Linked DNA regions of Tribolium castaneum. The protein of the gene in region 2 purifies or fractionates together with the protein of the main gene of each other region. This does not show direct contact. Links are inferred from orthologs where the notes say so. Each region holds a gene or a part of one and is shown on either strand. Other genes may lie near its edges. The genes, in order: 60S ribosome subunit biogenesis protein NIP7 homolog, probable 28S rRNA (cytosine-C(5))-methyltransferase, Nop56, ribosome biogenesis regulatory protein homolog and pre-rRNA 2'-O-ribose RNA methyltransferase FTSJ3.

Region 1 (3,131 bases), on a different chromosome or scaffold from region 2:
CGCTTCCTGGGAGACATAGCCATAGTCATCCTCGTCTGGCTGAATGGGGCCGGCTAAAGTCACCGAAGTGTTGTTAGCATCAACAGCGTCTTGAAGCACGGATTGGTTTGCAGATTTAGTACGCTTTAACATCACATTAACCCGTCTTGTTGCTTTTTTGTCCTAAAAACGACCATAAACACTGAAACGATCACTCGGAGCCGTACCTTAGCCCTCAGAGCCAACAATTCCTCCTTTTTCTTCAAAGCTTCGAGTTTCTTTTCCCTCTCTTCGGCCTCCTTCTTCGCTAAAAACTTTTTGATGTTTTCCGACAATTGTTTACTGCGTTGTTCCTTCTTTGGAGGCTCGAATTTGGTACTGTAGTACCTGACGGGCTAAAATTGTATCAAATTATCCATGAACTTGGTGAAAAGTTCCAGAAGAAATTTCTTGTTGGTGTAACAAGTGTCTAAAGTTACCTCTTTCTTGGAGCCTTTCTCATTTTTTTGGGCGGTGTGCAAAAGCGTACCAAAATCCATGTTTTTCCGTGCTAATTGCTCAAAAAAACTGAGAAAAATCCGATTTATGTCATGACATATTTCACTTTTACGTCGTACATGTCATCATGCGCCATTATCACTGAAATAAACGCGAAAGTAGGCGCAAACGGTGCCAAAACAAAACCACAAAATCCCCAAATAAAACGCGGATAATACAAATTCGTAAAAATTTATTTCTTAAATCACAATAAATCTTCCTCCGATCGGATGTACTCCCCGATGTCTGCCTGATGGAAGCAGACGGGGGCCAGAGGGTCGGCGTGTTTGCACTCTGCTGTGGACCTCGCCGCTACCCCAAACCCCAGCGGCAAGTCGGACATACTGTACACCAAAACCCCCTGGTATTTCTCCGTGTTCTCACTTATTCGTCCTAAACCCGCCTTTGAGACGTGATTGCCGTAAAGGAATTGTTGCTCCGCTGATGGTTTTAGCCAAACTTTGCACTAAAATAACTCGTTATTTTCCGCGTAATTGTGACCGCGAACTCACCTGGGCGTAAGGCGCCAAATAACTCAACGCAGTTATGTGCAGCCGAAACTTGTTCGACTTTGTAAACTTCCCAAAACATGTCCCGGCAGAGATTAGCTGGTTTGGTGGCAGAGTTTCGGCCAATTTTAGGATTTTTTCCGAAATGTAATACACTCTGTCCTTTTGCTCACGGAAACAGTAGATCCCATCTGGCCGCTCTATCAGTAATTTTACGTTGGGCCCAATACTAAATTTAGGAAAGTTACACACGTGACGAGTGTTTTGGAAACAGCACTTACTATTTTGCCAGCTTTTCAAACAGGGTTTTGGTTCGTTCCTCAGAGAGTCGTTTCATTGTGCCGGCTTTACTCAATTACCAATTCAAATAATTATTAAAGTTTTATTGACTGTAACTATTTTTTAGGTTAATTTTTGTTTCAAATCGTTTGCAACTTTTGTTTTCTCTGTTGTGGTATTGGTGAACTTGTAGATCGCGCCACTTTTGACGTGAATAAATAACTACACAGTATGTTTTGAGATGTATTTATCAATTCGTAAAATAACATTTAACAACATGAAATCATATGTCAGACTATTAAGAAGATAAACATGGAGATTCCTTGTCTTCAGCAAGTTCCATCAAACTGGACTTGATTTCTTTGCTAATCTCTTCTGCTTCTGGCACCTCAGATATAACCCATGTGTCATCGGTACTTTCCAGTTTTTCTCTACAAATCGGGCACGTGTCATGAGTGGCATTCCTTAAAAAAATCTAACAGTTACTTGAATAACAAAAGTATCATAGTTGATTTTTAATAACATATTTTTCCGATTATATTATATATTATATTATATTATATTGTAGCATTAAAAAAAATAATAATAATAAAAATGAAATAAAAAAAAATGTTTATTTGCATTAAATTTTGAGCAAGCCACTTTCATTCATTGAAATTAAAGGCAAAATTACGTGGCAATAAATTATTTTAGTGTTTTATTTTATTTATAGTTACTGTATTTAAAATGTGTCACTCAAAATATCACTTTTCAATACCGCATTTAAAGATTTTAATTGCAATTAAGTTTTATGAAATTATTGGTTTTTTGAAATAAATAAATACGACACAGCAATAAAATACACCTACCTTCATATCGCTTCCACGTTGGCTACCGTTTGTAGCATTAAAAAAAATAATAATAAAAATGAAACCAAAAAAAAATAATAATAAAAATGAAACCAAAAAAAATGTTTATTTGCATTAAATTTTGAGCAAGCCACTTTCATTCATTGAAATTAAAGGCAAAATTTCGTGGCAATAAATTATTTGAGTGGTTTATTTTATTTATAGTTACTGTATTTAAAATGTGTCACTCAAAATATCACTTTTCAATACCGCATTCAAAAATTTTAATTGCAATTAAGTTTTATGAAATTATTGGTTTTTTGAAATAAATAAATACGACACAGCAATAAAATACACCTACCTTCATATCGCTTCCACGTTGGCTACCGTTTGTAGCATTAAAAAAAATAATAATAAAAAGTAAACAAAAAATAATAATAATAAAAATGAAACCAAAAAAAAATAATAATAAAAATGAAACCAAAAAAAATGTTTATTTGCATTAAATTTTGAGCAAGCCACTTTCATTCATTGAAATTAAAGGCAAAATTACGTGGCAATAAATTATTTTAGTGTTTTATTTTATTTATAGTTACTGTATTTAAAATGTGTCACTCAAAATATCACTTTTCAATACCGCATTTAAAGATTTTAATTGCAATTAAGTTTTATGAAATTATTGGTTTTTTGAAATAAATAAATACGACACAGCAATAAAATACACCTACCTTCATATCGCTTCCACGTTGGCTACCGTTTGTAGCATTAAAAAAAATAATAATAAAAATGAAACCAAAAAAAGTTTATTTGCATTAAATTTTGAGCCAGCCACTTTCATTCATTGAAATTAAAGACAAAATTACGTGGCAGTAAATTATTTGAGTGTTTTATTTTATTTATAGTTTCTGTATTTAAAATGTGTCACTCAAAATATCACTTTTCAACACCGCATTTAAAGATTTTAATTGCAATTAAGTTTTATGAAATTATTGGTTTTTTG
Region 2 (4,961 bases):
ATTCGGTTCGTAATTCCAAGTCAAATAGTGTGAACATGTAATCACCGAATAAATCCCACTGAACATCTCTTAAAGCACAAAAAAATATATGAAATGCGTATTGTTCAACCATGTACGAGTACATTCTACCAAATTGATATTTGATATTGTTAGGGAAACAGGCTTTGTTATATTGCCCCTCGGAAAGGAATAATGACTCCAATTGATACTCAGTGAATGAAATGCTGCAATAAAATAAGATATCGCTAAATCGGACAACAAAAAAACGAAAACTTCATTACATACGCATATGTAACATATTTTCTGCATTTCAGTACACAATTTATTCGTTGAAAATAAATCAAAAAATAGAACCATGCTTGCATTTTTCAAATCTTCAAACACGTTTTTTGAGATAAAACGTAGTTTGTTAGCTAAGATAATATAAACTATTTTTTTGTGCCCAAAAATTTCAAGCGGCCGAGTAAAAAGGAGAATACTGAGCGTTAAACCGTCATACTCGTAGCTACGAATTGTTGAAAATTTATTTAAATTAAATTAAATAAGCAGTTCACTAACAGTTTAGAAAAAAGATTGAAATTTTCATGACAAACATAAGAAAAAAACATTAAAAAACTGCAATACGTCCAATTTTCTTCAGCTGCGAATACAAAGAAAAAATTAAAAAATGTAAGAAAAAAAGTTACAAGAATGTCGGTCTCCATTTAACCCAGAAAGGTTAAAGATTTTTTTAAATCTTTACTTTATTTAGTTTATTTCAAAAGTGGTGCTTTACGGAGTTATCAGGAATAAAAATAATGATGGTATTTTTTGTAAGCAATAAAAAATCACATATATACTTAATCATAATTGCTTTATTTTTATTAATAAAAAATGAACATTTAAATAAAAATGATTGATTTTATGTATGCTTCTTTTTGAACATTTTATTCTTCATAACACCAACTTGTTTCTTCTTAACTTTCTTAATCTTTTTATTAAGCTTCACACTAGCTTCTTTCGGAATTTTGTCCCAATCGAGTTTTTCACCAGTCTTCACATTCTTCTTGCCCGGACTTGCGGACTTTTCCTTTTTCAATTTGTTATCTTTCGGCGAATTCGTTCCTTCTTTCCTCGTATCCGCTTTACTATTTTGCACTACATTTTTCTTCTTCTTACCATCATCTACAACCGCATTTTTTTCTTGTTTATTGTCCTTAATATCCCCATTTTGCTTAACCTTTTTCGCTTTCTGTTTTTTAGTCTTCACTTCCTCGTCCTGTTCTTGTTTACTCGTATTAATTTCTTTACTTTTCTCCTTCAGTTCTTGTTGACTCGTATTATTTTCCTTACTTTTCTTCGCCTTTTTCGGCTGCGTTTCTCCATTCTTTTTCTGTTTTTTAGTGCTAACTTCCTCAACCTCCACTTCCTCCTCCAATTCCCTCTTTTCGCCCTGCTCCTCGCCCGCAGTCGTCGGAATCAAATTTGAGAATTTCCTAAACTTGGCCACAAAAAACCCGTCCATGTTATGCGTATGCGGGTAAAACCTCCTCGTCAGTTTCAAACTCGGGTGAAACCTAAACTGTCTATAATTCGTAAAGCCTTCATTCCCGAATTCCAGTCCCGTATCGACCAACTTAACGTTCCTCTTCTTCAGAGCGTAATCAACCACCCATTCGTTCTCTTCCGGCAACACCGAACAAGTCGAATAAACCAAATATCCGCCGGTTTCCGACTTGGCATTAAGGCAATCAATCGCCGCCAAGAGCAACTCCCTTTGCAAATTATAGCACCGCTGAATGTCCTGCTCGTCCTTGCTAGTCTTGACACTCTGGTCCTTCGCCACAACCCCCGTCCCGGTGCAGGGCGCATCCAGCAGGACCCTGTCAAATCCCTTCAAAATTTTCGGGAATTTTCGGCCGTCCACGCACGTAATGACCGAATTAACGACCCCCAACCGGTGGAAATTCCCGACGATTGCCTTGATTCGCTCGCTATTGACATCATTAGCGAACAAGACCCCCGTGTTTTTCATCAGCGCGGCGATGTGCGAGGCTTTGCCCCCGGGGGCCGCCGCCATGTCCAGAATCCTCTCGTTTTCTTGCGGCGCTAGCGCCATGACCGGTAGCAAACTCGAAGCGCCTTGAATAATGTAATGACCGGCCAAATACTCAGGGGTCGCCCCGATCGGAACTTGGGAAGAATACACAACGAGGCCCACTTTGCTCCATTTTCCCACCGGGTCCAAGTTAACCCCGCGGTTAATCAGGGCCTGGGCCAGGTCGCGACGCCGCGTCTTCAGACTGTTGGTGCGGATGGTCAACGGTCTTTGGACTTCGCTGGCTTCAAGAAACTCCAAAACTTCGGTCAGGGGGAACAGCTGCATGAACTTCTCCATTAGGAAGTCGTTGTAGCTGTAGTAGGTGCAAAGATCGGCTTTTAGCATCTCCAAGTAGTCGGAACGTGAGTGTTTCTCATCGCGGAGTTTGGTGAAGTCGGAGAGGACTCCGATCACGTCACGGATGCGTTGTTGCACTTCCTGCAAACTTGCGGTCTCTTCGCGTTCTTTCTTTGACGGGAGTTTGAACTTTTCGCTGTCTGCAATGTTCATTTGGAGCTCGTCCTCAGCGAGCTGCTCCTCCTCATCTTGTTGCTGCTTAAGTATCTTGTTCTCCTTTTCAATCGGGAGAAGGTCGTCATCGTCAGGTTCAGAATCGTCCGAAACGTCGTTCAAAGTCCCTACTTTACAATCCTCCTCGTCACTTTCCTCAGATTCAATCACAACTTGCCGCTTGGGCTTCAGCCAGGACTTGTTATCGTCCGTGAAACCCTCGCCAGGCAAAACCTTCGTGTCATTTTGACTCACAGAAGGCTTCAACCACACTTCTTCATCCTCCTGCTCTGACTCACTACTTTCTTTAGCGACTTTTGCCACATCTTTCCTCTTAACTAGTCTTTTCTTCAAACGTTGTTTCTGTCTGTGGCTCAGTTTTTTCGCGTCGGAATCACCTACAAGTTCAATAAGACACGAAAACCACTCGTGTATTTTTACCATTGAGTAACGCTTTCGGAAACGTCGGGTCCTTTTGTTTTTTTGCCTTTTTGCCAGGCCCTCGTTTAACGAGGACTCCTTCCGTGTTAAACCGCGCTTTTCTGCCCATTTTACCGATTCATAAAACACACGTGCTGCATTTGAAACGTGAAAACACAAGTTTAAGGTTAAGGGATCTTGACGTTCAATGTGACCAACTTGTGATTTACGTTGGCACAGCTTTCAAACCGTCCAATCATAGAATAACGAATTTAATAGGAGCCAATCAGAGGAAGAGGGTTTTAAGCGGGTCAAATAACATAATCATTTGATGGAATATATTCTTTTATAAAAATTTCTGGACTAGATCGCCTAAAATACCGCAAATTGATGTCATAGTGGGTCTCTCTTTCTTCTCCTTTAAACAACTCGTCGCAATCTCGTATAATTTCTCGCCGAAATTAATACTATTGGCCATCCATGAGCCAACTGTTGTGTCTAACAATGGTTTAATACCGTCCTGGCAGGTTTCTTGCACATGAGTAACCAAATCGACTCCCTCCCGGCTTTCGTCCATTGGAGGCATTGAAGTGAGTAGTTCAAGCAAAACGACTCCAAAACTGAAAGTGTCCAACTTTACTGAAACGTCTCCCCTGAAAGCCTCAGGTGCCATGTAAGCCGAAGTCCCGAAAATTGTAGTTGCGGTGTTTGTATTTTGGTTGAGAGCGCGTTTAATTAGCCCAAAGTCGCACAACTGAAGAAAAAGTGATTATTTTGTAACAAACTACCGAAAAACAACCTTTGGTTTATTGTTACTGTCGAGTAAAATATTTGCAGATTTAACGTCACGGTGAATCAAGGGGCTTGCGTATGCAGTGTGGAGATACGCAATCGCCCTCGCTGTCCCCATTGCTACATACAGCCTTTCCGTCCAAATCAACTCATGTTTCTAAAATTAATTATTAATTATCTTAAGAAAAAAATCTTTCGAAAATTATTAGGTCTTGACCTAGAATTGTTGGATTTCAACAAACCGTTTTGCTAGGACTTTTAGTTTTCGAGTTGTTTATTTTTTATGAAATTTTCAGGCAAAAAATTTCAAAACTATTAAACAAAATCAGATTAACAAAAGTTTTTCATTTTCCCAATTATTGTCTTATCTCGTTTGTTTTTTTTTTATTTTAAAAATTACTCACAGTAGGCAAACACTGACCTGTAGCCGGTCCTTGAGTGCCCCTCCAGGGACGTACTCGTACAACAAGCAATACGTGTCGCCATCGCACGAATAGCCCCTCAAAGCCACCAAATTCTCATGCTCATATTTACTCAAAATCTCCACTTCGTTGCGGAACTGTTTAGTAACCATATCATCAACTCGAACGACGTCAACATTTTCCAAAATGACTTTCTTCACCGCCACTGGTTTACTAACCAACCCCACACCCAAATAAACTTTACCGAAAGCCCCCGACCCCAAAAACCTGCCCCCTTGGGCCACCGGTGTCTCGTCGAAGTTATTAGTCGCCGTTGCTAAATCACAGTAACTAAAGTGTGGCAAAGGAGTGTTCAGCGACAAGTTCGGGAGCGGCGACGAACACGACCGCGAATTTTTCTCAGAATCGATTAATTGACTCAAAGCGGGGAAGTTTGACGAAGAGTCGGAACTTGACGCCAGACTCAATTCGCTGATTGCAGGAACGTTGAAATTGGGCTCAGAGTCGTCACTTGACTGGTTCAAAAGTGACGATAACTCCGGTCTGTTGACCGCAGAATCGGCATTTTCAGTGGTTTCTGAGCTCGATTGTGACACTAAATCGCTAATTACGGCAGGAATGTTATTATTGGACGCCTCATCCGTCAAAAGCGACGACAAATGCGGCACATTTGCGTTATTATCGCTGTTTGAAACCGATTCTTGCGAAAACTTAATCAAATCCGACTCAGACTTGAC
Region 3 (4,221 bases), about 8.5 Mb from region 2:
GCAACTCAGGCAACTTAAATATCGATTTAGATAATTTACTCGTGACGAAACCAAAACAAGGAGTCTCACCTAGTATGAACCAATTGGCGAGCAATCCAACCTCACCCGTTAATCAACCGAAATTAACAAATCAATATGCGATGAACTTCAACGCTCAAGGCTTCCCCCAAACGAATGCTTTCAATCAGCCAAATAAGCAACTGTTTCCAAGCTTTTAAAGCACCTAATTTTTATTCGAAATTCCAAAGATTGTACTTTAATCGTTGAGATTGAGCCAATTGGTCTTGCGTTTATAGTTTTTAAAAACGGTTTTCTTGCACATATTTTGTATAGTCCGTTTGGTTGTATTACAATGCTCATGAGGGTGCTGGGTACATTTAAGTTTGTTCATATTTTATTTAGTATTACGCAACTATTTATACAACTAATTTGTAGGAACAGCAAAATCGGCTCTGTTAGCAAACAGATAAAGCAATATTGCATTGTTAATAATTTTCTATAAAATAAAAACAAATTCGACCTATCGGCAGTTTTTTCTTTTTCGTTGAAGGTTGCGATACCGTGGTGCCTTATTATCGATAACACTATCCATGTTACAGTTAGTAACTGTTTGAACATTCCGCTCATTTAGTTTATTGTAAAAACATATAAAATAAATTGTTGTGAATATTACCCATGGTTTTATTGGTAGGATAACAGGTTTAAGCATTACGACCTCAATTTGATCAAGTATCTATTTAAAAATAATAGATTATACAAGAATAAAAATACCCGACTCTCAAACAAACAATTACTCAACTTCCTGCTTATTTTTCTTCTTCTTCTTTTTGGGCGGCTCCTCCGCCTCATCTGCATTCCCATTGGTCGTCTGGTCCACGCCATTCTCTCCCACAGACTCACTCGTCTCGTTCAGCTTATGTTTCTTCTTTTTCTTCTTCTTCTCGGACTTATTGTGCGCCGTTTCTTGCTCCAACTCCTCCATCGCCTCCTTCATGACTTCGATATTCTTCTTGGGGACGTCCCCTGTCTCGTAAAACTTGAGCCTGTCTTCAACTTGTTGCCTCAACTTCTCGCCAAAAATCTGCGTCGGTTGTTCAGTGAAGCAGTCGATTCGCGATGCGATCGAGCACTTGTTCGCCAAATATCGCGAGATGCGCCCCTTGTTCTTAGCCCCAGCTCGCCCTATGAAAGTGGAGTGGAAGAGTAAGCCGTACTTCGGGGTGTTCCCCCTGGTTTTAAGAGCCCTGAAAAGGGCTTTTTCAGCCCCGAGGATCTGAACCGTGGACGCCGGGTACTTGGCAAGGTTTGTCAGAGACCCAGCGTGGGCGATCAAGCGCGCCCCCACTTGTTCGCCGATTAGTTTGGCCAGATTTGGGGCCACGTCGGTCATTTTTGTCTTCAAATATTCGGAAAGTTGGTTTCTGTAGTCGGCTAGAGCTATCACCCGGCCGGCAAACATTTCGATGTTCAGTAGATCAACAACGCTTATGTCCATGCCCATGCTGGACTTGGAGGCGTCCAAAATCGCCTGGGCTTTGCCTGAATCCATCGTGATTTCTTCCAAGCCCTCGAGAGAGTCCTCGCTTAGTTCTTTGCGGTTTTTGATGAATTTTGCCAAACGGGCGTAGGTGTAGTTCTCGGGGACTATTTTCACCAACTCCGGGAAATGGTAAGAGTACCATTCGCTGCAATACACTTGTTAGAAAGAAAATTTGGACAATTCGCAAAATCGTACCGAATTCTCATCGAGAAAGTGTTGATGTCTTTGTCGAGTTGGTCCAAAAGAGCTATGGATTGTATTATCATATTGTCAACTCTGTGGACGTTAAACTTGACCTTGGCTCGTGAATATGCATGCCCGAGCCCCAGTTGGGCCACGGCTGAGCTTTTCTGAGTGAAACCTTTCACAAGGTTATGGAAATGGTGCCTGATACCCCTGATTACCTCCGGGACAGCTCCGACGTGGCTACATTGTATCCCAAGCGCTTCGGTGATGGCAGCCCCCAACTTGGGGTCACTCACCCCCAACGTAAGCTTATTCTTTTTCTTACTTTTCGGGACTGTGATGTCCAAAAAGTGTAGCAAATCTTCGGGTAAAACACCCTCCGAGATTGCATTGATGCTTTCTAAAGCCGCAATGGCTGTTTTAAACGGCGAAAAACCAACGAGTTCGACTACGCTATTGAAGCGGGCTAGGTCGTGCACGGCTGCCTCCAACTGGGGCAGCAGCATACCGATTTCTTCAAATTCCTGCACTTTGAAAACCCCATAGCCGGCAGCGTGCTCGAATAACACATAAAGTTTAGACTGAAAAACATGCGGCGCTAGAGTGAGGTTATATTTACAAACATTGCTATAACTTTGCTTGTTCCAAAAAACGAGCAATTAGCAATGTTCTAGTTATGCAATATTGAATTCTTACCATAATTAGGCATAAAATTGGGCTAAAATTAATTAAATTCTATAACAGCACGCATCACAATCACACGTGTTTGCGCGATTTCGCTGGTAATTTTTACGGCAGTGTAGTGGTGGAGCTGACGAAAATTTAAATTCTGGCGCACAACTTAAATAATCTCTTACATTTATTAACATAAATAAATACAATTCTCAATAAGTTACGTAACAAATCACTTAAACACTACGACTGGACTTAAAATAACATTGAGGACAAACTTGAGTCCCAAAACGAGACCATCAATAACATTCTTAATATCAAATCTAGATTCAATCTCTTTTTTAACATTCGTCAGTTTATTATTACTACACGCAAGGCAACCAATTTCGTCCAATTTTACATGGGTTTTGAACCCCCCTAAAATCCCATCGGACCCCACAACCTCGTTATTAAACAACGTGCCTTTGAACCAAATGTGGTCATTTGGCTTAAGCCCCAGGGTGAAATTTCGAAAATAATCGTCAACTACAAGAGTGACTTCGGGGCTTTTGCCCCAAATCGCTGACTGCACTTTCGTTGTTATTTCAAACGTGTACGAATTGTATTTTTGAAGCGAACACGTTTTAGTCGATTTTATTGCATTGTAGAACGAGCTGCACTCTTCACGAACCGCGGGGGGGAAATCAGTACAATCATTTCGAGTCTCTTCCCCGTAAAAACAGTAAAGATAATGGCGCAAAGTCACAGGGAAGTGATCAATAATCGTTTGGAACTTATTCGAGATCGACGAAATTTTAATATCGTTGATGTAACCGTCCCAATTGATGTGCGAGTTGTGCAGTTCGGAGCACTTCACTTGAGCAATTGCGATGTTTTCCTCCTGCCACACCGGCTGGTGGCAAAACCGCTGATAAACGTCCCACGACAAATACTCGGGTAGTTTATTTTCAAAATAGTGTTCCTCATTTTTGTAATTTGACTTAATGAGGGTTAAAACAGCAAAAATCGTCGAAACGACTTGAATAAAAGCGGTGATTTTGCTGAACCTCGTTTGGGCACAAACCCAACATACCGCCAGGCCTAACCCGGTGGCCCCCACGAAGACACAAACCCCGAGAAAAAAATTCGAAGCCACGACCCATTTCGCTAGCGCAGCTGCGGGGAGTATCACACTTGTGAGCCCCACTAGGGGCAGGAACAGCACCACCCCCACTAAGGCCAAGCTGCCGCGCAACAGGCCGTACATTGTGGCCCCCTCGGAGCTCACAATGCACACCTGGAGCCAGCTCAGGGTCACACAGTGGGGGATCAACATTTGGTACGTGCCTTTCCAATCCTGGCGTGAGGCGATTTTGACCAACAAAAGCGGGATAAACATGTAGAGAAACAGGCGGAAATTGATACAAAATTCGATGCCGTTTCCTATCACATAGCTGGCGAAAGTTGGGATTTTTAGGTCGAGAAAGCGCCAACCTTGTGCCACCACTGGATCAGTCTCGTAGGGGTATTTCGCAAGGACGTTAATCCCAAAACTGAAAAACACCAAAAGGTCGAAAACTGTCTTCCCCCGTCTCTTGTACATGAAGCCTAGAAGGGTTGCAAACGTGAGACAGAACGAAATTATCATTAATTCAGACTGGGGGATCCACTGGTCAACTATTACGGGGTAGACTAGGAAATTTAGTAAAAGTGAGCCGAAAAACAGGGCGTACGGTTTGAGATTATTCCGGACGTACAAAAACTCGGCATCTTCCGAATTCAAATCGCCCCCGGAGTACGTGATAAATAAACCGGACCACAACCGGAAATCGTGAAACTCGCGC
Region 4 (4,837 bases), on a different chromosome or scaffold from region 2:
TAACCAGACAGAATTTTTTCTTTAAACAATTGTTTTTTTTTTTAATTGAATCAAGTTTTTTGTCCAAAACATCATTTTAACATACAGTGGAGTCCCATTATGACGAACTCCGAAAAGGCATCAAAATCAGTTCGTTATATCCAAAGTTCGTGGTAAATGAAAAAATAGTTTTTTAGCAATACGTATTTATTGTAAAAAAAAACATGAATCCTTGCTCTATTTCGAGCACTCCGACTACGCCGTCGTGCTCGAAAAATACGCGTTCTAGTCGTAAAATGACGTGATGAACGTAGGGCAACAGTTAAAATGCTCTAACGAGTAGTGGAAATAAAAATCAATTTTTTTCCGAAGATTTTATTAGATTCTCAAATACACCCCGATTCCGTAACAGTAAAACCTCTACTGTTAGGAACCTTATCCAGCGCACAAAACCACAATTCTCGCCCACTTCGATGGGCCAAAACGTGTTTGGTTATATACAAAAGTCACTCTAGATTATATACACACTTCCAGACAAAGAAATTTGTAAGAAATGGATTTTGAAGTTGCGTCAATTGAAAGCAACCGATACAACAGTGAAGAAAAACCGAAACAGTTTCTTCAAGTACTTCCTCCAAGTCCTCCACAAGGCAGTCCAAGGTGAAGATTATCTCGGCCCTTCTCCACTCGACACTAAAGTAACAAATCGTCTTAACTGAAACAAAAAACTGATTTGTAATTTAAGGCTGACGAGAGCCGAGGCCGCGATTTCATGTGCCGCTGGTCGAGCGATAAGCGGACTTACGTGGCGGCTAAGCCCCTCCCAGGCGAGGGCACTCTGGTCTACATGGCCGTGTCGAAAGACCCGAGTCTTGGATGGGAAAAACAGGGAGAAACAATCTATGTTTAAACTCACCTCTAAGTAAAAATATACAATTGGAACAAAACTAGCGCCGCTTCCGGCCCCCGGCGGCTTTGCCCTTTCGGGGCCGGTTCGTGTTTTTCGGCTTCTTGCCGCCTCCAGACTTTCGCAGGCCTTTCTTGCGCCCAGTTCGGTTTTTCTCATCAGATCTCCTGGGAAAAAAAATATATGAATTTTTTGGACCACCGACTGAGTAAAACACTCACTGCGCTTGTTCGTCGTTTATTTGTCGGGCTACCGCTTTTTCAATATTTATCTTCGGTCGTTTGTTCAAAACCTCGTCTACGAGATTTAGGTTTTGGTTTTTCTCGTTTTGACCCGAAATTGGAGGTAATTTTCGTTTTCTCGTCGCTCCGGGAGTGATAGCAGCGACGCCTCTCGCCTCCTTCTCCTTGGGGAGCTTGTCTTGGAATTTTCCCAGACTTGCGGTTGACGATTTAGCCACTGTTACCGCCGCTTGCAACTAAAAATCAAACATTTTGATTTCGAAAACAAAAAGTTAATACTTTTTATGTTAAAGGTTTTAACAAAATTCCAAATTTTTTATTCGTATTTAACAAATAAAAACTAAATTGTTACTATAGACAGCTCACAATCAAAGGCAGATAACATTACATCCGGAATTCCCACAAGGCTCAATTTTGGGACCATTTCTATTTTTAATATACAGCTCAGAAATATCAGAATTCGTAAATTATGTAATTATTCAGATCATATGCAGGCATCCATTTAAATATTATAAAAACTATTCATCAAAACTTAATGAAATTTGGTATATGTTCGAAATTATGTAAATTCTATCGTCTCAGATGTGTATCAAAGTTCTGTCGTCATTTGTTCTGGGGAAACAAGGCTAACTTGATTTTTTTAATGCCAATATTATATTATTCTATTATTTTTTTGTTGTTTCTTTTGTTTGTTTTTTTCCATAAAAGTTTAATTTTTGGTTTTATACAAGTGAAAAATCGCTCATAACAGTATTTTAAAAGCTAGCTTAGTTTTACTTTTCCGGAAATCCAGAATTAAATTTTTGAATTTTTATTTTTTTTACCTTTTTAAGGTTCAGAAAAAAATTTGACAAAAACTCCGCCAATCTTTTTTGATGCTTTCCAACTTTAACTATGGCCTTATTATTTGTCACTCATGTTTAGATCTATAGTTTTTTCCAAAATTGTTTTTGCTTTTTGTTATTTTCTTCTTGCTTTATTTGCTATTATTTTTTTAGAGCAATTTTTGTCAATTTAATTTATTCATTTATTCATTTACTTCTTCGTTTCTTAAGGGAATTAAGTTCAATTTCGCCTCCCGAGTTGTATTTACGGTTCGAATAAAGACGGCTTATTGTTATATCATTATTATTAAAAAAGAAGCAACTACTTTAAACGTTTAATAAAACAACACAAATTCACGTATTTTTCAACTTGGTGCAACACTTAAATTTCCGGCCGTACACACGATAAAAATACAAAAACTCACGTCTTTTGCGGACGAAACCTCAGGGTTGGTGAGCCCGAACCTGGGCACTTTCACATTTTTCGCTTTGGCGACGTTGCGCAGCCTTTGCAGTTCATTCTTGGCGACTTTTTCGCTCTTAGCCTCGACTTTCTTGGCGAACTGGTCTTCCAAAGGGTCCGCATTTTGTGGCACTTCAATCAGCCAGTCCTTCTCCTTGAGGGCGGCGCTCCGTTTGAAACCATACAGCGGGATCCACTTTTGCAGCTGCTCGTCCCAAGACAACTTACTCTTCTTTTTCTTGACTATGCCCTTGGCTTTGGCGAACTGCTCCCACTTGGTCAGCGGCCTGGGCCTCGGCACGGGCTTGAAGCGCGGTAAACAAAACTTCTGCTTGGGCAACTTCGCGACAATTGCTTCGTCTATCCGCTCCGTGGGCAACTCCCAGATTTGGTTAAACAGCAACTGGGTGTTATCCCGAGTCAAATTCAGTAAATAATCGTTGGTGGAGCTCCTAAAATTGGGTCAGAAAAGCGTGCTCAGCGGACCCCAAAACTCACCTCAACGCGCCGGGATCGAGCGGGTTCAGGTCTTCGGCCAGCAAGGCGCCTAAATCGATGCTCACCAACTTGTTAACTTCCACTGATTTGTATTTCTCGGCCTCTTTGGCCGATTTTTCCAAAATTGTTTTAACAACATCCATGTTGTTAAAACCTGTCTGGGGATTCTAACCTCACTTGCGACAAAACGGTTACACGTGGAGCGAAAATCCCCAGATTCGGCTGGCGAACTGACACCTGTCGCTGACAAATGTCAACCAATTTCAAAATATTTTGCCAAAATCTGGGCGTTTCTTTGTAAAAATGTGATCGTGGTGGTGCTGAGTCATGCCACTCGCCGAACCTTTGCTTTTTCTGCTCAAGCTGGGCTACACCCTGCGTCTCAAGGTGCCCCTCTTTATCCTGTTTCTGTGCTTTTTGCTGGATATAAGGATGCAACTCAACGTCACAGTCCAGAGGATTGAGATCCCGAGGAACGCGGTCCCGGACCCAGACGAAGACATTTAATGTAAAAGAAATATTTTATTCATCAGACTCAATACACTAATAAAAATCAATTAAAAAACACTTTGCTGTAAATGCAAATGTAAATGGAATATCTCGCTACAATAATTTAACAAGGAATTAAAACAACGTACAAATTTGGCAGTTTAAATGCTGGTGTTTGTCCTCATTCGTAACAAAAGAAACACACTTCTAGAATTCCATCTGAAACCGCCACTTGATTAGAACGGGAAAAACCGCAACAAACAACTCACTTATACAGTTAATTACAGCTAGAGCTTTCGATTGTGACCTCTTGCAGGATTTCTGCAAGAGGCCGACTCTGGCCTTCCCTCGACGGCTGCAGACTCGCACACCCATGGCTCGTACTCAGCGAATTCTGGGGAATTACAAGCTGTCAGATTGGCCCAACCAACTGTGGGACCCTAACTAAGTCGTGCAACTATTTGCCCAACTGGGCATTTATTTATAAAACGTAATAAATGTTTAATTGCTTTCAATAAATGCCCAGTTTCTTCTAAAATCCCAACTACACAGACATACAGACGGCCGACTCCTTAGAAAAAAATATCCACTTTCCCACACCTGTCCACCGTTCTCCAATTTTTTCAAAAGGGCACACGTTTCGACACAAGAATTAAAATTCGCGCCATCTGGACGGAAATTAACTCAACCGAGCTTTTTAAGTTGGCCATCTGTGACTAGAAACCCCTAACACGAAATTAGTACTCCTATGTCCTACCTATTAGTAATTTTAATCTATTACGTGTCTATCTGCTATGACTAAAATCCTGCGGGAATTAGAACTAGACGATAGAAAAAAATTCATATGCCATTAGTGTAGACACACAAACAACACCACGTCCCGACTTACTGCGACATTGTGAACAAACGCTTTGCAGTGTTGCCAGTACGAAATGTCTCGCCTTGGTAGGTAGTACCACCCAAACAAAAAAAATTGAAACAAAAACTCAACCCCCACACTTAACTAACGCAATGAAATTACCTTGTGTAGCGTACTCTGCGGCGCCACTTTTAAGTGCACTTTTTCGGCGCATAACGCCTTCAATAAGTTAATCCCTTCCTGCCTGTTCCTCTCAAATCGGCACTCCCACGCATCAAACAGCCGATTATAATACCGAACTTCCATGAAATTCAAATACTTGTGCGTCTGCGAGGTGGGGAAAATCCTCTCGAAACGCCCCTTAACACACCACTCGTCTTCGGCTTGCGTCAACTTTCGCACATCATCGCCAGTCAATTCGGCCAAAATATCGTCGAGGTAGTCGTGTCGTGACTCATACTGTTCGAAAAGTGTGTGCTTTTCCCGCTCTTTTTTCGTGAGCGAAGTTGTGTACAATTTGGGGTCGAAACATTGGGGGCTGTGACGGACGGTTTGAGACAACCTTGGCGGAAAATG
Region 5 (4,817 bases), about 5.0 Mb from region 2:
TACGAGGATATTTCGCCACTAATTCGCTTCTTGCTTCACCACGTACGCTTATTGAATACTGTTGTTACACATAAATCGACAACCCAAATAGAAAAGTACACGTCATGTGAAATAATCTAGAATAAACTCGACTAGCGGCTAGCCCCTGCCGGTCTACAAATGTTCGCTCAGTCGAAATGTTGCGAGCGAGGTCGGAACAGTACGAACGGAGACCATAACGGACTTCTCATTTCAGCTGGGCATATTCACAGAATAACAGGTTTTACAGAAACGCATCTGTCCTTGTCCGGATAGAGCGAAAGTGTCACTAGCACATCTATTGTTGCCAGCGCGTACTAAGCGTTATCGGCGGGCGATTTGAATTGCCCGTAGTTACTTTTCTTTTAAAGTTTGATTGCATTTTTCGTATTGTTTGTAAATATTCACAACAATAGTTGCTAATAACACTTTCTGATGTTAGACAACTATTGTTGCTGAATATTTACAAAGAATACGAAAAATAAAATATGAGAATACATAAAGACAATAAACTTGTAATAAAAATTTATTATCACTAGTCAATATACACGATACGATAACTATAAACTAATGATTGATCCATCAAATTATTTATATTCCCACAATAAAAAAGTTCAAAAAAGCACACACACGAAAAAAACCACAAAACAGTACTAATTTCACATAAAACAAAGCCGAAGGCGAACACCAAACAAACCAAGCACAAAATGGCGATTTACACAATGGCAACTGTCACAGGTCCACTGTTAATTTCTGCCGATATTATAGGTAGCTTCGCTAAAATTGACTATACGTGTGTGCGACATCTGCGATAGCAAGCCGAACTACAGTCGATTTTGAATTTGGCGCCTATACTTGGCTTGGTGCATTTAGGTTTCACCACCCTGGGCATATTGGAATAGTGGTTTTTATGGAAATATGTTGCGCGTGGCTGGGGCTTCGCCCCAGTTAACTAAAAGGAAACAAACCCCACGACCAATTAAACTCGAAAACGTGGAACTCGAAACGTGGAATAGTGTTTATGTTTATGAACTGTACGCCACCCTAGCTCCATAAAAAAACACTATTCCACGTTTCGAGTTCCACGTTTTCGAGTTTAATTGGTCGTGGGGTTTGTTTCCTTTTAGTTAACTGGGGCGAAGCCCCAGCCACGCGCAACATATTTCCATAAAAACCACTATTCCAATATGCCCATCAATGCCGATTGTTAATGTAATTATTTTTGAAATACTCAGAAAACTCTTTAGACTTAACCAGCCCAGCTGAAATGGAAATCCGTTATGGTCTGTTCGTACTGTTCCGACCTCGCTCGCAACATTTCGACTGAGCGAACATTTGTAGACCGGCGGGGCCTAGCCGCTAGTTAAACTCGGACCATCGCGAACGCCTCCCATTGGCTGACGCACAAGGAGGGGTCACGTGACGCAAACATTTAGAGGCCGCTAATAAATGGAAATTTTGATAATGCAGTTCCAATTTCACAAAACTCTATTATGCACTAACAACCCATACTTTGCTTTTCTTATGTATAAAACAAAATTAAACAAATGGGTCAAAATGACACGCCATGCAGTGCAATTTGTATTGGTTGATAAAACTATTTTTCCCCTTTTATCAGCGAAACATTTAATAATAACAACTGGATAAAAATTTTGAAAAAATGCCAAAAAACCGCAAATTAAAACATGTGAGTTGGTAGCATTGCTTTTTGATAACGCAAAAAGGATAGTCATATGTGTGTTTCGTTTGCCCGACAAGGACAACAAATTCCGAATGACATTCTGTCAAAAGTCAAAAGCCATGTGTGTTTGCTGAAAACAAATTAGTTTTTTCGCTTTCCAGAATTAAAAAAGCGCCAACATGGGAAAGAAAACTAAAATTGGGAAACAGCGCAAGGATAAGTACTATCAATTGGCCAAAGAAACCGGTACGTTTTCCCAAAACTTGGCACCATAACCTCACTTTCGCCTTCAGGTTTTAGGTCTCGTGCAGCCTTCAAATTGATTCAACTCAACCGCAAGTTCGAGTTTTTGCAGAAGTCGCGAGTATGCATCGACCTGTGCGCCGCCCCCGGGGGCTGGATGCAGGTGGCCAAGCAGAACATGCCCGTTTCGAGCGTCATCATTGGGATTGACTTGTTCCCAATTAAGCCCATTCCTGGGTGCATTTCGCTGACTGAGGACATTACGACCGAGAAATGCCGCGTCTCGCTCAAGAAAGAGCTGCAGACGTGGAAAGCCGACGTTGTTTTGCACGATGGCGCCCCAAATGTGGGCAAGAATTGGCTGCATGATGCCTATCAGCAGGCATGCCTGACGTTGAGCTCTTTGAAACTGGCCAGTGAGTTTTTGAAGAAAGGGGGCTGGTTTATAACCAAAGTGTTTCGTTCGAAGGATTACCATTCGCTGATTTGGGTTTTGAAGCAGTTTTTTAAAAAAGTGCATGCCACCAAACCACAAGCTTCGCGTAATGAATCGGCGGAAATTTTCGTCGTTTGTCAACACTACATCGCACCTGATAAAATCGACTCCAAGTTTATGGACCCGAAATATGTTTTTGAGGAGTTGGAAATTGAGCCTAAAGAGAAATTGAATATTTACCATCCTGAGAAAAATAAGAAGAGTAAAGCTGAGGGGTACCCCGAGAATGATTGGACTTTGTATCATAAGATTAAAGCATCAGATTTTATTAAACACCCTACAGGGATCGAACTCCTAGAAGGGGCTTCTGAGGTAAAAACGCCCAAAAAAACTTCACTTTTAGTCCATAGATGTGATTAAACACTCGGGAAAAGTATAATTTGGTAAATTTGTGACTTTTTCTTAAAGAGATTTTGAGAAATAATTGCGCTTCTGCATTATTGAAATCTCGCAATAATAGTATATTATTATGCAAGTTTTATAAGACGTTTTATTGTAGCACGAATCGTTTTGGAGCACAACAAAGGAGTACTCCAATAGAATGAGTGTCACAATTAAGTCTTATAAAACGCACTCGTTTTATTACGTATATTACACTTAATATACTATTTTTTGTACTTTCTATTTTTGTTATTTGTTTTTGTTTAATTTAATTTATCAAAATCTGTTCAAACTATTTCCTCTTAATTTTGTTAATTATTCGGGCTTTACAGTGATGACTCACAGCCCAGCACTGCCAATACAACTCCTAAAAATTTACTAAATGGAGTTGCACAAAAGTTCTTTTTGTGAAACTACTTTAAAGCGCCCTCATTTTTTCTCTGCCGTACTGTTTCTTTGGGTTCAGAAAATCCTGCGATTTTGTACCCCATTTCATCCCCTAAGTTTAGTCCTCCGTATTCTTGGCTAATGAAAAATGCTAATTGTCGTTAATATTCGGGGAAGTACTCAATTTTGAAAACATAGGATCAACTAGAGGATCAACATAATTTGGTTGCTTTTATGATTTTTTTGTAGATCGTTTTTGACGTTGAAGAAATAACAAATCACGAAAAAACTACAAACGAAATTAAAGAATGTTGCAAGGATATTAAAGTTTTGGGAAGGAAAGATTTGAAGAAGCTCTTGGCTTGGAAGAAGGCATTGAGTGAAGAGTTTTCTGAGAAGAAAAATGAACCTGTTGAAGAAGAGGTTGAAGAAACTGTGGAGAAAAGTGACGACGAGGATGATTTGAAGGACGTCCACCAACAAATATTGGAACTTGAAGTAACACACTATTTAACAAAATTTGTGACTAATTAAAATATAATTTGTAGAGTGAAGAGCAGCGCGAATTGAAGCGAAAAAAGAAAAAAGCTCAAAAGGAGCGCAAAAAGCTGAACGAAAAATTAAACTTGAAGATGGTCTTGAAAGGTGATAGTGGCCCCACAATGGAAAGTGACGGCATGTTTGAACTAAAACAAGTAACAAGCACCAAACAGATGAAGAAAATTATTGATCAAACGCCTGATACTCTTGCTCAATCAGACAATGAAGAAGATGAAATCAAATCAAAATATTTGCGTTATAACAAGGACGAGCAACATTTGAGTAGTTCAGGATTGTATTATAAAGATTCAGATTCTGAGTTGGAAATGGAAAGCGAGTCTGAGGACGAAGATGGGAAAATTAAGGAAGGTCTAGATTTAAGCGATAGCGAAAATAGCGATGTGGAAGAACAGAAAACTAAATCGAAAACGAAACCAAAACATCCTCTCATAACGGACTTGGACCACAGAAGTAAGGAAGAGAAAAAAGTGCACAAAGCCGAAATGTGGTTTGAAAGAGACGCTTTTAAGAATCTAATAGACGAGAAAGACGAAGACGCTGATTTGGACCGACTGGTGAGTGAAATGAAGAAGAAAGGAGCCAAGATTATCGGAGAGGAAGAAGATGCGAAAAACACAGAGTCGGATAGTGACTACAGTTCGGATTCAGATGATTCCGAATACGAGGATTTTGAGAAACTTGCCCCTAAAAATAACGTAAAGAAGGACGGTTTTGAGATTGTCCCCGAGGGGCAAAAAGTAGGCAAGAAACGTAAACATAAATTAACTGAGAAAGAATTGGCGTTGGGTACGCTAATGATCAACAGCAAAAAAACAAAACGTGACATAATTGACGCCGCTTGGAATCGTTACGCTTTTAATGATGACAACTTGCCTGATTGGTTTGTCAAAGATGAGGAGAAACATATGAGGAAAGAAGCTGCGGTTCCCAAAGAGTTGGTTCAAGATTACAAGAAGCATTTGGAGGAGTTGAATGTGCGTCCGATTAAAAAAGTGATCGAAGCCAAGGCAAGGAAGAAGAAGAGGGCGTTGAAGAAGTTGGAAAAAGCAA

Evidence for each region.
Region 1: the proteins of probable 28S rRNA (cytosine-C(5))-methyltransferase (region 2) and 60S ribosome subunit biogenesis protein NIP7 homolog purify together in Homo sapiens (affinity purification with mass spectrometry; 3 studies listed by BioGRID and IntAct, with this or other methods). This does not show direct contact. The link is inferred for Tribolium castaneum from reciprocal best matches to the Homo sapiens genes NOP2 and NIP7.
Region 3: the proteins of probable 28S rRNA (cytosine-C(5))-methyltransferase (region 2) and Nop56 fractionate together in Homo sapiens (co-fractionation; 3 studies listed by BioGRID and IntAct, with this or other methods). This does not show direct contact. The link is inferred for Tribolium castaneum from reciprocal best matches to the Homo sapiens genes NOP2 and NOP56.
Region 4: the proteins of probable 28S rRNA (cytosine-C(5))-methyltransferase (region 2) and ribosome biogenesis regulatory protein homolog fractionate together in Homo sapiens (co-fractionation; 3 studies listed by BioGRID and IntAct, with this or other methods). This does not show direct contact. The link is inferred for Tribolium castaneum from reciprocal best matches to the Homo sapiens genes NOP2 and RRS1.
Region 5: the proteins of probable 28S rRNA (cytosine-C(5))-methyltransferase (region 2) and pre-rRNA 2'-O-ribose RNA methyltransferase FTSJ3 fractionate together in Homo sapiens (co-fractionation; 3 studies listed by BioGRID and IntAct, with this or other methods). This does not show direct contact. The link is inferred for Tribolium castaneum from reciprocal best matches to the Homo sapiens genes NOP2 and FTSJ3.

Annotation. Positions count from the first base shown.
Region 1 is NC_087402.1:3,023,139-3,026,269, reverse strand, and holds 60S ribosome subunit biogenesis protein NIP7 homolog, read right to left. Parts: upstream 1,476-3,131; 5' UTR 1,363-1,475; coding exon 1,307-1,362; intron 1,255-1,306; coding exon 1,029-1,254; intron 983-1,028; coding exon 722-982; 3' UTR 693-721; downstream 1-692. Other genes in the region: protein SPT2 homolog, read right to left, coding at 1-162, 207-374, 459-518.
Region 2 is NC_087395.1:22,664,871-22,669,831, forward strand, and holds probable 28S rRNA (cytosine-C(5))-methyltransferase, read right to left. Parts: upstream 3,239-4,961; 5' UTR 3,141-3,238; coding exon 3,032-3,140; intron 2,989-3,031; coding exon 902-2,988; 3' UTR 835-901; downstream 1-834. Other genes in the region: serine/threonine-protein kinase pelle, read right to left, coding at 3,357-3,764, 3,810-3,959, 4,224-4,961. UniProt on the Homo sapiens protein: S-adenosyl-L-methionine-dependent methyltransferase that specifically methylates the C(5) position of cytosine 4447 in 28S rRNA. Required for efficient rRNA processing and 60S ribosomal subunit biogenesis.
Region 3 is NC_087395.1:14,127,499-14,131,719, reverse strand, and holds Nop56 (nucleolar protein 56), read right to left. Parts: upstream 2,558-4,221; 5' UTR 2,426-2,557; coding exon 2,423-2,425; intron 2,308-2,422; coding exon 1,736-2,307; intron 1,686-1,735; coding exon 791-1,685; 3' UTR 721-790; downstream 1-720. Other genes in the region: wfs1 (wolframin), read right to left, coding at 2,631-4,221. UniProt on the Homo sapiens protein: Involved in the early to middle stages of 60S ribosomal subunit biogenesis. Required for the biogenesis of box C/D snoRNAs such U3, U8 and U14 snoRNAs. Part of the small subunit (SSU) processome, first precursor of the small eukaryotic ribosomal subunit.
Region 4 is NC_087399.1:2,010,043-2,014,879, reverse strand, and holds ribosome biogenesis regulatory protein homolog, read right to left. Parts: upstream 3,283-4,837; 5' UTR 3,057-3,282; coding exon 2,914-3,056; intron 2,868-2,913; coding exon 2,378-2,867; intron 1,365-2,377; coding exon 1,108-1,364; intron 1,054-1,107; coding exon 927-1,053; 3' UTR 912-926; downstream 1-911. Other genes in the region: uncharacterized protein LOC103314109, read left to right, coding at 514-677, 725-889; tubulin monoglutamylase TTLL4, read right to left, coding at 3,690-3,796, 4,292-4,343, 4,424-4,837. UniProt on the Homo sapiens protein: Involved in ribosomal large subunit assembly. May regulate the localization of the 5S RNP/5S ribonucleoprotein particle to the nucleolus.
Region 5 is NC_087395.1:17,626,648-17,631,464, reverse strand, and holds the start of pre-rRNA 2'-O-ribose RNA methyltransferase FTSJ3, read left to right. Parts: upstream 1-1,722; 5' UTR 1,723-1,878; coding exon 1,879-1,945; intron 1,946-1,992; coding exon 1,993-2,750; intron 2,751-3,455; coding exon 3,456-3,704; intron 3,705-3,754; coding exon 3,755-4,817.